3 linked regions of the Coturnix japonica genome follow. The protein of the gene in region 1 purifies or fractionates together with the protein of each later gene. This does not show direct contact. Links are inferred from orthologs where the notes say so. Each region holds a gene or a part of one and is shown in the gene's direction. Other genes may lie near its edges.

Evidence for each region.
Region 2: the proteins of UBXN6 (region 1) and ASPSCR1 purify together in Homo sapiens (affinity purification with mass spectrometry; 4 studies listed by BioGRID and IntAct, counting the BioPlex papers as one, with this or other methods). This does not show direct contact. The link is inferred for Coturnix japonica from reciprocal best matches to the Homo sapiens genes UBXN6 and ASPSCR1.
Region 3: the proteins of UBXN6 (region 1) and NPLOC4 purify together in Homo sapiens (affinity purification with western blotting; 3 studies listed by BioGRID and IntAct, with this or other methods). This does not show direct contact. The link is inferred for Coturnix japonica from reciprocal best matches to the Homo sapiens genes UBXN6 and NPLOC4.

What each region holds. Positions count from the first base shown.
Region 1 is NC_029543.1:1,643,089-1,647,412, reverse strand, and holds the start of UBXN6 (UBX domain-containing protein 6), read left to right. Parts: upstream 1-1,476; 5' UTR 1,477-1,565; coding exon 1,566-1,648; intron 1,649-2,267; coding exon 2,268-2,422; intron 2,423-2,664; coding exon 2,665-2,726; intron 2,727-2,870; coding exon 2,871-3,002; intron 3,003-3,223; coding exon 3,224-3,321; intron 3,322-3,558; coding exon 3,559-3,634; intron 3,635-3,720; coding exon 3,721-3,805; intron 3,806-4,003; coding exon 4,004-4,223; intron 4,224-4,324. UniProt on the Homo sapiens protein: May negatively regulate the ATPase activity of VCP, an ATP-driven segregase that associates with different cofactors to control a wide variety of cellular processes.
Region 2 is NC_029533.1:4,364,235-4,368,137, reverse strand, and holds the end of ASPSCR1 (tether containing UBX domain for GLUT4), read left to right. Parts: intron 1-234; coding exon 235-286; intron 287-860; coding exon 861-930; intron 931-1,234; coding exon 1,235-1,419; intron 1,420-1,739; coding exon 1,740-1,753; 3' UTR 1,754-3,400; downstream 3,401-3,903. UniProt on the Homo sapiens protein: Tethering protein that sequesters GLUT4-containing vesicles in the cytoplasm in the absence of insulin. Modulates the amount of GLUT4 that is available at the cell surface. Enhances VCP methylation catalyzed by VCPKMT.
Region 3 is NC_029533.1:5,193,619-5,197,209, reverse strand, and holds part of NPLOC4 (nuclear protein localization protein 4 homolog), read left to right. Parts: intron 1-662; coding exon 663-749; intron 750-2,372; coding exon 2,373-2,444; intron 2,445-3,119; coding exon 3,120-3,246; intron 3,247-3,591. UniProt on the Homo sapiens protein: The ternary complex containing UFD1, VCP and NPLOC4 binds ubiquitinated proteins and is necessary for the export of misfolded proteins from the ER to the cytoplasm, where they are degraded by the proteasome.

The sequences.
Region 1 (4,324 bases):
CCGTTTTGCTATTTCACCCATTAGAAAGAAGGGAGGGTACGGTGGGATAACGGGATTGGGTCCAGAGCTGGAGGGGAGGGGGTAAAGAGGGGTATGGATGGGGGGGAGATATGGAGGGGTATTGGGGTCTATGGGGATGGGGGATCATAGGTTTAAAGGGGTCAGGGACTGTGGTGAGCTATGAGGGGGGAATAGGCTGCCAGGGAGGGTCCCCATGGCACGAAGGTGAATGATTTTGAGGGGGAAAAAGCAATGAGCAGCCATCTCGTTAGGGACAGATAAGCAAAATGAGCCTCCCAGAGCCATGGGATGGAGCTTTAGGGAGGTTAAAACCCATGGGATGGAGGTTAAGGCCCATGGGATGGAGCTTTAGGGAGGTTAAGGCCCATGGGATGGAGCTTTAGGGTGGTTAAAGCCCAGCAGCTCCATGGAATTGTCCTGATATAACCATGAGAGCAGGGCTGGGGGTATGGAAGGCATCCCTTAAAGAGCACAGCCATGTAGGGGAAGGTTGGATAGGAATGGAGAGCTTGCCCTTAATATAGGGGAAAGTTGGATAGGAAAGGAGCAGGGAGCATGCAGAGGAATTAGAGCTGATTTAGGATCATAGACCTGTGATTTAATGACCTGATTTCTGTGCTTTCACGGAGCCAAACCCAACCAGCCCATCTGATTCATCCTGCTTTAGCTCAGCTTTTAAGCAACAATTTGCTGCTGCATCCCAAGTGAGAAATGGAAGCTGGATGAGATGCAGCTGAGCCTGGTGAGGCTGTTAGCAAACACAACCCACACGTGTGGCAGGGATTAACTACGGAGCAATTACACCTATGGGAGAGGAGTGAGAACAAACTGAGTGTGCTGTGTTCCCTGTTGGGGGCTGCTTAGAAGGCCATAGGAAATGATGGAGGGGATCTGCCCCTGTGCTGGTTAGAGCTTACCTGGAGCATTGAGTCCAGTGCAAAAGAGACACAGACCTGTTGGAGTGTGACCAGAGAGGGCCATAAAAATGATGTAGGATGGGTTGAGAGCTGGGGCTGTGTATAAGAGGAGGCTCCATAGGGAGATGAGAGTGGTTTCTCAGTACCTATAGGGGCTATAGGAAACAAGGGGCTGCTCTTTAGCAGGGTCTGTGTGATAGGACAAGGGGAAATGGCTTCAGACTAAAAGAGGGGAGATTTAGAGTGGGTATAAGGACCCAAAGAGGTGTCTATGGGGATAATATGACTATGGATGGGGCTCTTTAAGCTGTGGGTGACCTTATTCTCTGCAGGAGTGTGACCAGATGGCTTTTAGAGGTCCATTCCAATTCAGACCACTCTGATCTGCATCTTGACCCACTTTACCTGCCCCATAGTGGGGCTGAAGGGTCCAACTATAGGACACCATACAGGTCCATTAGCCCCGGGGAGCCTGGAGGACCGCGCACAGAGACGGCTGGGTAGAACGGCAGGAAGGCGTTGCTGCCCCCACCTACTTCCGGGTGCGATCACGTGAGTAGACCGGAAGTGGGAGGTGGGTGCGGCCGGTACCGTTCCGGTGTTGGTTCGGGTCCCGGTTCCGTCGCTATGCGCAAGTTCTTCCAGGAGATCAAGGCCGACCTGAAGTTTCGAAGCGCTGGACCAGGCCAGAAACTCTCGGAACCGACTCGGTACGGGGCTCTGCACCGCCGGTAACCGCTCGGTACCGCCCGTTGGGCCCAGAGATGGAGCTCGGGACCGGGACGTCACGGCTTGGGGGGGGGCTGTGTTAACGAATGGGGCTGGGAGTGATTGGGATCCATTGAGTCCATCCAAGGGCTGGTTGGGATCCATTGAGTCCATCCAAGGGATGTTTGGGATCCATTGAGGCCATCCAAGGGCTGGTTGGGATCCCTACAACTTGATGTCCATCCAAGGTTGTTGGGATCCATACATTGAGTCCATCCAAGGGCTGGTTGGGATCCATACATTGAGTCCATCCAAGGGCTGGTTGGATCCATACATTGAGTCCATCCAAGGGTTGTTTAGGATCCATACATTGAGTCCATCCAAGGGCTGTTTGGGATCCATTGAGTCCATCCAAGGGCTATTTGGGATCCATACATTGAGTCCATCCAAGGGCTGGTTGGGATCCATACATTGAGTCCATCCAAGAGCTGGTTGGGATCCATTGAGTCCACCCAAGGGCTGGTTGGGATCTATACCTTGAGTCCATACAAGGGCTGGTTGGGGTGCTAAAAGCTGTTACTGCCGGTCAAGGGGCCCATAGAGCTGCGTTCTGTCCTGTAGGGTCCCCAAGGAGAAGCCGAAAGCAGAGGCAGCACCGAAGCCTCGACAAGGACCCACCGATGAAGCACAGATGGCGGCGGCGGCAGCGATGGCTCGGATGGAGCTGAAGCCCAAAGCGAAGCCACCTTCCTCCTACGAGGCCATAAAGAACCAGGGTAGGAGATTCCTCGCAGTTACAAGCCTGGCTGGGCTGCAAAGCTTTATCAGTGTTACCTCCAAGCTCAACCAGCTGCTGTAGGTCTGAGCGTAGAGTCCCCATCTTGGCAGCTGGAGCTGGCTCCTTGATGACGAGCCTCTTAGAAATGGGGTTAAGGCAATCAGCTGTGCAATGCAAAGCACTCTGAGGAAGCAGAGCTCTGTTCCCCTATTGCCATAACTGGGATTTTTTCTCTCCTAGTGAGAAAGGAGCTGATGGCTGAGGCAGCTGCAAGTGAGAAAGGGGTTTGTGCAGACCAAGAGGTACGAGCAGCTTGTTCCCTATGATAAAATGAATGCTTTGAGAGTGCTGTTGTTCCTGTCCTATAGATATATGCAAACAACCCACAGCAATCCAATACAATACAAACAATACAATTCAGTTGCACCTGCTTTTGTCTCTTTTAGGACCCAGCCTTCTCGTACAAGGAAGCTGCAGCTGAACCCTCTGTTTCAGGGGTTTATTTCATCTGCCCATTGACCAGCGCAGTTGTAAGGAAAGATGAGAAAGAAAAACACATCAGAGAAGCCATCCAGTCGGTGAGATCTACATCTGCAGGCTGTGCTGCTTCCATTTTAACTCATTTTGTGCATTAATCCCCTCAAGCAATACAGCAGTTACCCTCCTATCTTCTCCCCTATCTCTCAGACTGCAGGCTCTGTTCAGATGTTATAAGTGCCTGTCCCTTTGGCTTGCTATAAACGCTCTTTGATTGTACAGAATAGTCAGTCCACCCACGACTTCTCTTCTTCTTTCCCAGTATTTTGCAGTAGACCCAGTGGCCGCCTCCATCATGGAGATTCACACCTTTAATAAGGATCGGGACAAAGTCCGAGTGGGTGTAGAAACCATGGCCAAGTAAGTAGGATGGAGCACGCAGGGAGCTTGTCCCTTCCCTGGAAGGTTAACAGGCATTGCTGCACTCCAGGCAATGTCTGAGATGCTTTGAGTTGATCTACTGGTCCAAGAGGTTTAGGAGGTGCTGCTTGAAATGAATAGTTTGCTTTCCTTACTTTTCCATATGAGACCTTATGGGCAGCATGTCCTAAAGTGCCCGCTTTGATCCATGAAATACATAGATTCCTCTTTCTGCAGATACTTGGACAATATCTATCGGCATCCAGAGGAGGAGAAGTACCAGAAAATCAAACTACAGAACAAAGTATTTCAGGTGAGATCAGGATTGTTGCAGCTGTTCTGCCTGGGGAACTCATTGCCTGGAGCAGATTACATTTAATATTTTTCCTTTTCTTCCAGGAAAGGATAAACTGCCTGGAAGGCATACATAAATTTTTCCAGTCTGTTGGGTTTGAGACAAAAACACTGCCTGTTCCAGGACAAGGCAAGATATTTAAGTGTATTATAAAGTGAAGGCAGCAGCCTGAGTGATGGGACATCCCAGGGGAGGCTCTGAGAGCTTCACACTTCAGGGCTGTTTTACATGAACAGCCTCTGGTCCTGCTTTTTTCTTGTTAAGGCAGTAGGTTTTCTGGAGATTATTGCCCTTAAATTTCATATGTGAACGTGCTTTTGGTTGTAGACACCACTGAAGAATATTACGTACTGAAGGAAGAAATGCTGACCAGGTTGGAAGACCTTAAGTACTATAAAGATCAGCTTTTAAGCTGTGAGCCGCTGAGACTCCAGCTGGATCGCCAGCTCTGTGTATTTAAACCATCACCTGAAGCTGCCCGATTTGAGCTGCCAAATGACTTCTACAACCTCACTGCAGAAGAGATAAAACGAGAGCAACGGCTCCGGTGAGCAGGTTTCAAGTGAGGGCCTCCACTACCCAGGGGGCACGCAATGCCAGCTAACTACCTTGTATGCCACTTCTTCATGCTAAAAAACCACTTTTTAT
Region 2 (3,903 bases), on another chromosome or scaffold:
AATGAGTATGTTGCTGAACGTCTGTGTGTAGGAGAACAGCTTGAGTTTTGCTTCATATTTACCATGAGTGCCCCGTGCTCTATGTAAGTTGAGGCTTTTCTGAGTAATAGATGGTTCAGTGACCTGATCTTTAACTGTATGAATTAGTCCATAGCTGTCTAACCACTCTCTAATGTTCACAGCAGAGTGTGAAAGCTCCTACAATCAGTAACCTCTTCTTTTTCCCCATTGCAGGCTAAACTCTTTCCAGCTGCTGTCATTCATTTTGGATCTGAGGAGCGCAGGGGTGAGTGAGCTTCCTCTCTTCTTCAGCTGACTGTATAGCGCTGTATAGACTGTGTCAGTATGTTCAGATTTCTTCCAACAAAAGATAATGCAGTCCTTGCCAGTGCTGGTAACTGTTCCCCTTCAGAATAGCTGAAGCTCATCAGAATTGGGTCGGTCTCACTAGAAGTGGATTTGACTATAGTTAGTTTAAGCACAAATATAAATATGGTACATTTCTTGTGAGATTTGCTGGGCCGTGGAGCAGGCATTATCTACTATGAGGACAAAAAATGAAAGAAGAATGATTCTATAGAAGGAAATTTCATGGTAGGAAATGTTAGCTAGATAGCTGTGAGATGCTCATACAGACCTCCTGCTCTCAACCTCTCGAGGTTTTGAATGAATGACAAAGTAAAGCACCTTGAGTTGTGTAAGAAACAGTCATAGTTTGAAAGTGTTCTATTTCTCAGCTGATAGGAAACTTGCTGTAGCATACGGCAGATACTTGTTGAGCACTGGGCTATGTGATTCTGTGATTGATGTATTTTTGTTACCAAACAAGTGATTGGATTTCATTGTTTCATTTTAAACAGATTGTTACCTGAAATCGGATCTGCTGAGCTCTGCAGTTTCCCCTTCTGCAGCTGATTTATTAATGGCCAGGTATGTCAGAGTTGCAGGTGAGTATTTCAGGGAGGGCTGGGGGCATGAAGTGCCTTTCTAAAAAGAAATATGATCTGAAGATGCTAGAACTCCAGTTACTCCTTCATACAATCATATCTGAATTTGTATCTTGATGAGTCCTTCTTTGTAAAGCAGGATTTCAGTGACTAAATCAAGTAAATATTAGGGTCTTTATCATGGAGAAAAGCCTTGTCAGTCTGACTTAGAAAGCTTAAATGCAGTGATACATGGGGCTAGTATGAAAAAAGGAAGTTTAATTTTACTTGTTTGTTTTCTTCCTTAGATGTCTGTCCAAACCATTAGCTCCTTCTGCCTCATCAACTTTAGAATCAATAGTTCCACCCCTACCTGAACCAGAAGTGGGCAGTGACAAAAAGACTGAACGACCAGAAGCAGCAAGAATGCATGAAGCTCCACAGGTGCTGAGAAGGCCCCCTGGGAAAATACCCAAGTGGCTGAAGCTGCCAGGTAACACAAAGTCAAGGGAGAGTTCACCCATTGAACTCCACAGAAACGCTTTCAGTGTTGACACTGCTCTTGAAGATGTCAGCAGGAGGCTGATAGGACGTGTATCAGTGCTTGTCAGTTACAAATCATTTTGTGCCTTAAACCTCAGCCTTCACTGGAGAGGTGCCTGAATACTGATTTCATAAGGAAGTAAAAGTATGAAATGTTATTTGGAATTCCAGGGAACACAGCAGCACATAGAACAAGATCGTGCTATTGAGAAACGATGCGGTGTGAACTGTGTGGTTAAGTGTTTTAATGGCCTTATGTTTGTGTTGTAGGTGGGAAGAGATGAAGCATCCTGAGCTGCAGTGAGCATCCAGTTGTGCCTCTTTCCTGATGAACTACTTCAGAATTTGTAAGAAATTGTTGGTGGCCCTGGAGAGATTTAACACATATGAACATTAATTATATCCAGAAAATTGCTATTACTTTCAGCTGCCAGCTTCACCTTTTGGAGGCCTTTTTGAAAGGCCTGTTTATGGGCTTTGTGACTACAGAAGCAAGATTAAAGGTTAAATGTAACATTTCCTGCATGCAAATAATATGAATGGAGAAAGGAAGGGAAAATAATTCCTAGGTAATGTCTGTGAAGGCCTGCGATTCCACCCATGTTTTTAAATTCAAATCCTCCTGTATTTTGCCTTTCTGTTCTCAAAGGTAACTTCAGTCTGGTTGCTTGAACTCAAGCAGCAAAGTCCAATTCAATTTTACCTGTAGTTTAGTGCTGACTAGAACAAGACACCTCTGCTTTTTGCTGGTGATTCTGGGTATAGATGGCTAGAAAGTGGGTTTAAGGGAAGCACATTGCTTACAACAGTTCAAATTGCATTTTCCTATGAAACTCTTGGTCTACTGCACTTACATTGTTTTCATTTGCCTTAGAACACAGGTATCTGTTAATGGAACTTTCTCTGCACATAATTTATGCCAGCAACTGTGGATATAATGCAGGGAAAAAAATAGTCCTATGTGAATCTCTTTGTGTGACCATCAGTCCACAAGTGTCTTCTGTGGTCTGAAAGCTTCCACAGCAGAGTGAGCTGTTCCTTGCATTGCAGTTGGTGTACAGAGGGAAGTGCTGGTCCTGAATTTGCCTCCTGCAGATGCTGCAGTGGGATGAGTGTTACTGTTTAGAGCTGTGCTTACACTGGAGATTATAGTGCCACAGTAGCCATGGTGCTTTATTATCATTCTTTTTTTTAAGTCTTCTCCATGGATCGGTGATTCATATTGGGCGAGCTGGGGTTCCATGTTATGGTAACAGCATATTTTCCATTTTCCCTGTACAGACAATTGTTCTCTAAACTATGTGTGCATCTGCACAGTTTTGAGATGTAATAAAGTACAGTGGCCAGAGGAGGCCTTTTTGTCGGTCTCTTTGATAATGTGTTCCTTCCCCCAGTGCTCTGTTTCTCTGTCAGTTCACAGGAACCTGCTCTCTTTTCAATGGGCCTGTCATGCCTCATTCCCTTCCTCTCATTTTTTTTTCCCCCAACAAAGCAAAACAGAGCTTTGTACCATCTGAATGAACTTCAAAGTAGCTAGAAAGGGCACCCAGGGTTCCTGGCACTTGTCATTGTCTCCCAGCCTGGCCAACATTTCCCTTCAGGTCTAATTACTTCCAAATGCTCTTAGATGCTTTGAAGAAACTTGAAGGGAGGGAGAAGCATGAAAGGTGGAAGAGGAAAAAGGAGACTTAAAGCGGAGGGAGCAGAATGCTTCAACAAAAATGTTGATTGATTCCTTATATGACACCCAAACATAAACAAGGAATGTGTGCGGCCACTGGCAGTGAGAGAATACAAGAGCGCTGTGTGCAGACATGCTGCTCTAAGTTCTTCCTTTGAAAGGCAAGCTCTTGTGGTGCTTGATGTCTATAAAAGGTGTATTATAGCAAAACAAGGCCAAAATAAAATGATGTGTAAAGCTTACTACTTCAGATGGTTGTGTGGGCTGAGCTTGCTGTCTGTTCCTTACTTCTGGTGCTCTGTCCTGCTGATTCCTTTCACAGGAGTTACAAGTTATGCTGCAGCTACAGCTGCTGTGCTGAGTTTGTGCAGGATGTATTGCAGGTCCACCAAGAGAGCTATAGGTTGGCTCCCAGCACAGGCACTGATGTACTCGTGCTGGTGTTTGAATCACCGGATTAAGAGTAAATAGGAGTGTTCTGGCAGCAGGAAGCTGCGCTGGGTTTCAGGTGTGCTACTCTTTGTTTTTGAAGAGCACAGGCAACGTGGAGTGCCTTATCTGTTTTGATTTCATGTTTTGTCACTTGTATGTGGTACAGGCAAAGAGAAGGAAATGTCTGGAGGCATGAACAGCGCTGTCAGTACTACTGGGGCAGTTTCTTGGGTTAAGTACAGGAATGAGCATTAGAAGGTTAATATCTGGTCTGTCTTGACCCAACTGCTGCTCACAGAGTTAGGTATGATTCAATCTGAC
Region 3 (3,591 bases), on another chromosome or scaffold:
AGCTCTGAGTTACAGAGCTGCAGACAGAGCCTTTTGTGAGCTCTTCTACTTATTTCAAATACCCACGCAGCCATGCCCTCTGTTTTGGTCTTGCTGTTAAATTCTCACTTTGGAAGTTTGTGTAGTTTATTTGTGCATAGCAAAAGCAAGGAAGTTTTGCTTTGCTGGCAAGCAGTCTCTGCTGTGCTTCTTGGCAGAGCATCTCCCCACATGAGAAAACTCGCCTCTGAAGCACACTCAGATGGAGTTGTGTTTTCCAGGCCTGCGTGGCAGCCCCTGAATTCCCTGAACTTCTGCCTCTGTACTGCTCAGAGACTGCAACAAATGAAAGGGCAGGGCAGGACTGGCAGGTTGAAGAGAGCTTTGGAAAATTATATAATCTCTTGCCTTTTCCAAAGCTCTCAGAAGCAGCGATAGCCTGTTTGTAAGTGCTGAGCAAGAGTCTTTCATTCATAAACCCCTGCGTGGTTTGCAGGCCCACCCGGAGAGCTCCTGCAGGATGAGGCTGTGAGTAACAGAGGTCTCTGGAGTGAGAGCTGTCAGAGCTAATGCTGAAGGAAAATGCAGAACTGCTCTTCCATTCCCTGCCTTTCTCATGGTGATGGTTACGTGTGCTGTGTATTTTCCTGTTCTGTTTTACTAGCAAGATTTTCTTTGTGCAGATCGGTACACAGAACAGCCTGGAGATCCTGGAAGATCCGAAAGCAGAGGTTGTGGATGAGATTGCTGCCAAGCTTGGACTGAGAAAGGTTAGGATGGTGCTGGATATCACGTGTCTTTTGTATGGCAGTGAAGAAAGTCACCAGCAGTTCTCTTCAGCTCAGTGGGGCTCCTGAAGACCATTTGGGTTCATATGAAATCTAGCTTAAGTGTTGGTAGCTCTTACCCTTCTAGGTCTATTAAAGAAAGAAAAAAAGCAACCACAAATGTTTTTGTGAGGATGAGCATTCAGGGCTGTTCAGCTGCAGTCAGCAATCCTCTGTCATGAGTGACATCAAAGAGAATAGCAAAGAAGGAAAAAAACCACTATTTTCCCTTTATTTCTCCTCTGACAGGAGCTGTTCCTAGTAGCATCTCCCCAGCAAGTGCTAATTTGGCACAGCTGTAGCTGGAGTTGCCTTCTGAGTTTATTCCTCCTTCTGGCAGAATCTGCGTTCCGCTTCCAGGAGCGGAGGCTCCTGCTGGATTTTTATTCTCATCAGCAGGTCCTGCCTCTCAGTGCTGCTCAGACAGGCTGTGGCGAGCTAATCTGGATGTTGGCTGGAGGTTCAGGTCCCCCAGCATCTGAGCCTCAGTCCTCTGTTCCCCATGTGCCCGTGGCCTGCCAGTAATCCAATCAGGGCATACAGGCACTGGGCTCTGCTGGCTTGCTGACGTCTCTCAAACCTGTACCGATATATTTTTGTGGTTTGGGAAATCATTTGGTATCATGTGAATGCTAGGAATGAGACGTACACAAACAAGAATTGACTTGCTAAAGAACATGCAAATCAGAAGAGACTCGGTGCAGCAGACTATAAACATCTGTGGTGAGGTCTTTTGTTCTCTGAAGATAAGATCTTTAGCATTTTCCAGTGTCTGAACCAAAGCTTCTGTATGCGTTGTTTATTTCCATCCTTTAACTTTGCTTCTCACGCCAGATATTTTTAATCAATGTGATTTAACACGCAGCTTACTGCTGGGTGCAGGTTTTTGTCTGTCTGGGGTCTGCAGCATTGACCCTTCCCCTGAAGGGTTAATGCTTTGGGAGTCAGTCACGAGGGGCTGATCAGAGCTGTTTTTAGCACACGTGTAGAAGGGTTCATGCAGCGGTGCGTGTGTGTGTACACATCTATAGTCCTATGTGCAAACAATGCAAAAAGCAGGAATGTATTTTTTGGAACGGAGCGGGTTGATTTGGATTGAGTCACACTCCAGTGGGAGCATGTGAGCTTTATCTTAACTAGGGACTGCAGGCTTCAAAATGAGATCATGTGAGCTGCTTTGTCATCTGCTGGCACTTCTGATGCTGCTTTGCTCTGAATGCTCGATAGGAAATGCTTTTTGCTGTGGGTGGGAGGAGGTAGCGGCTGAGAAACCTCTTGCAGCCTCCAGATCTTTCCATGAAAAAATATTCCATAGTGAAACATAAAGCTGCAGGTGCCCCCGGCTGGCCAGCTGGCACGCTGCTCCTGGAAATCGTATTCAAATGAGCCCAGCACAGCTGGGAGAGCCATTTCCTTCAGGCAGCATGCAGCAAGGCTGCGCCAGGAGCCAAGAACATCTTGTCCTGCTAGGAGAAAATGTATAAGCTCTCTTCTGTGGGTTTGGGCTTCCTTTTTTTTTTCCCTTCTTTTTTTTAAAGCAGTTTTCTCCATAACGCTGCTTTATAGGTTGGCTGGATATTTACTGATCTGGTCTCTGAAGACACACGGAAAGGCACTGTTCGGTACAGCAGGAACAAGGTGAGACTGAAAGGTGTCACTCATCACCACCACTCGTATCGAGGGTTTGTCTCATCACCTGATTGCTGGCTCTGCCCAACACAGGGAGTCAAGGGCTGGGGGTGACACTGGGGCTGAAATTGTTGTGATGTGTGGGTTTCAGCTGCTGAAGGAAAAGGAGCTGGAGCTCTAAGAGCACCGTTAGAGGGGTTGTTGCTGTTTGGATAGATGGCAGAGCTGCCTGCAGTCCTTCACCTGTTCTGCTTTAAGAAAATTATGCTCGTGGTTTAAGAAAAATTGAGTGGAGAGAGAGTTTCTGTGTCATGCAAGTTCAGCAAGCAGAAGTGGTTGAGTCAGAGGATGTGGGCAGGGCTTTGTGAGGCATGTAGCTCGAGTCCTGAAACTCTGACCTTCTCAGTTACCTGTAATTCTGAAATCAGGGATATCCCTTTAGAAAATGAAACACCATAATAAAATGAGCCTGGAAAGGTGGGTGGAACCAAAAGTGGGATGGTCGTTCTGGCAAAAGTCAGGCTGATGGCTGGAGAGCTGATAAGTCACATTCTTAGTCTCTGCTGCTTCTAGGAAAGCTTGTTTTACTAGGGTGTTGGTAGTTTTCCTTGGCTACAGACCAGGGAAATGGGTCTAGGCTGCATCGTGTTGGCCTTTTTATTGACGTTTCTGCTCTTCCCTCAGGACACTTATTATCTGAGTGCAGAAGAGTGCATCACAGCTGGGAACTTTCAGAACCAGCACCCCAACATCTGTCGCCTTTCTCCAGACGGTCATTTCGGATCCAAGTTTGTCACAGTTGTGGCTACAGGTATAAACAGGTTTCAGCTTGCCCCAGCTCTCTTGATTACACACAAATGATCTTTTGTTAATGGAAGAGGAATATGCAGCTCTGCCAGAGGAAGTCAGTTGTCTTGGTCCCCATCTGTCCTATTTAACAAGGGCTTTGCCTTGTTCCATCAAGTAAAATACATTTTTGTTCCTTCTTTGTGTTATCTTCTTTTCAACTATTTACCCTGTCCCCTGCAGGAATCTCAGTTGATGCTCATACCTGGAGCACCCGCCTCTCTGCTCCAGAAAGCATTTTTTGCCTGCAGCTGAGGGAATATCTGTCAATTGCTTTTTTTTGTTTCACGTGTTTAATCTCCAAGTCCTG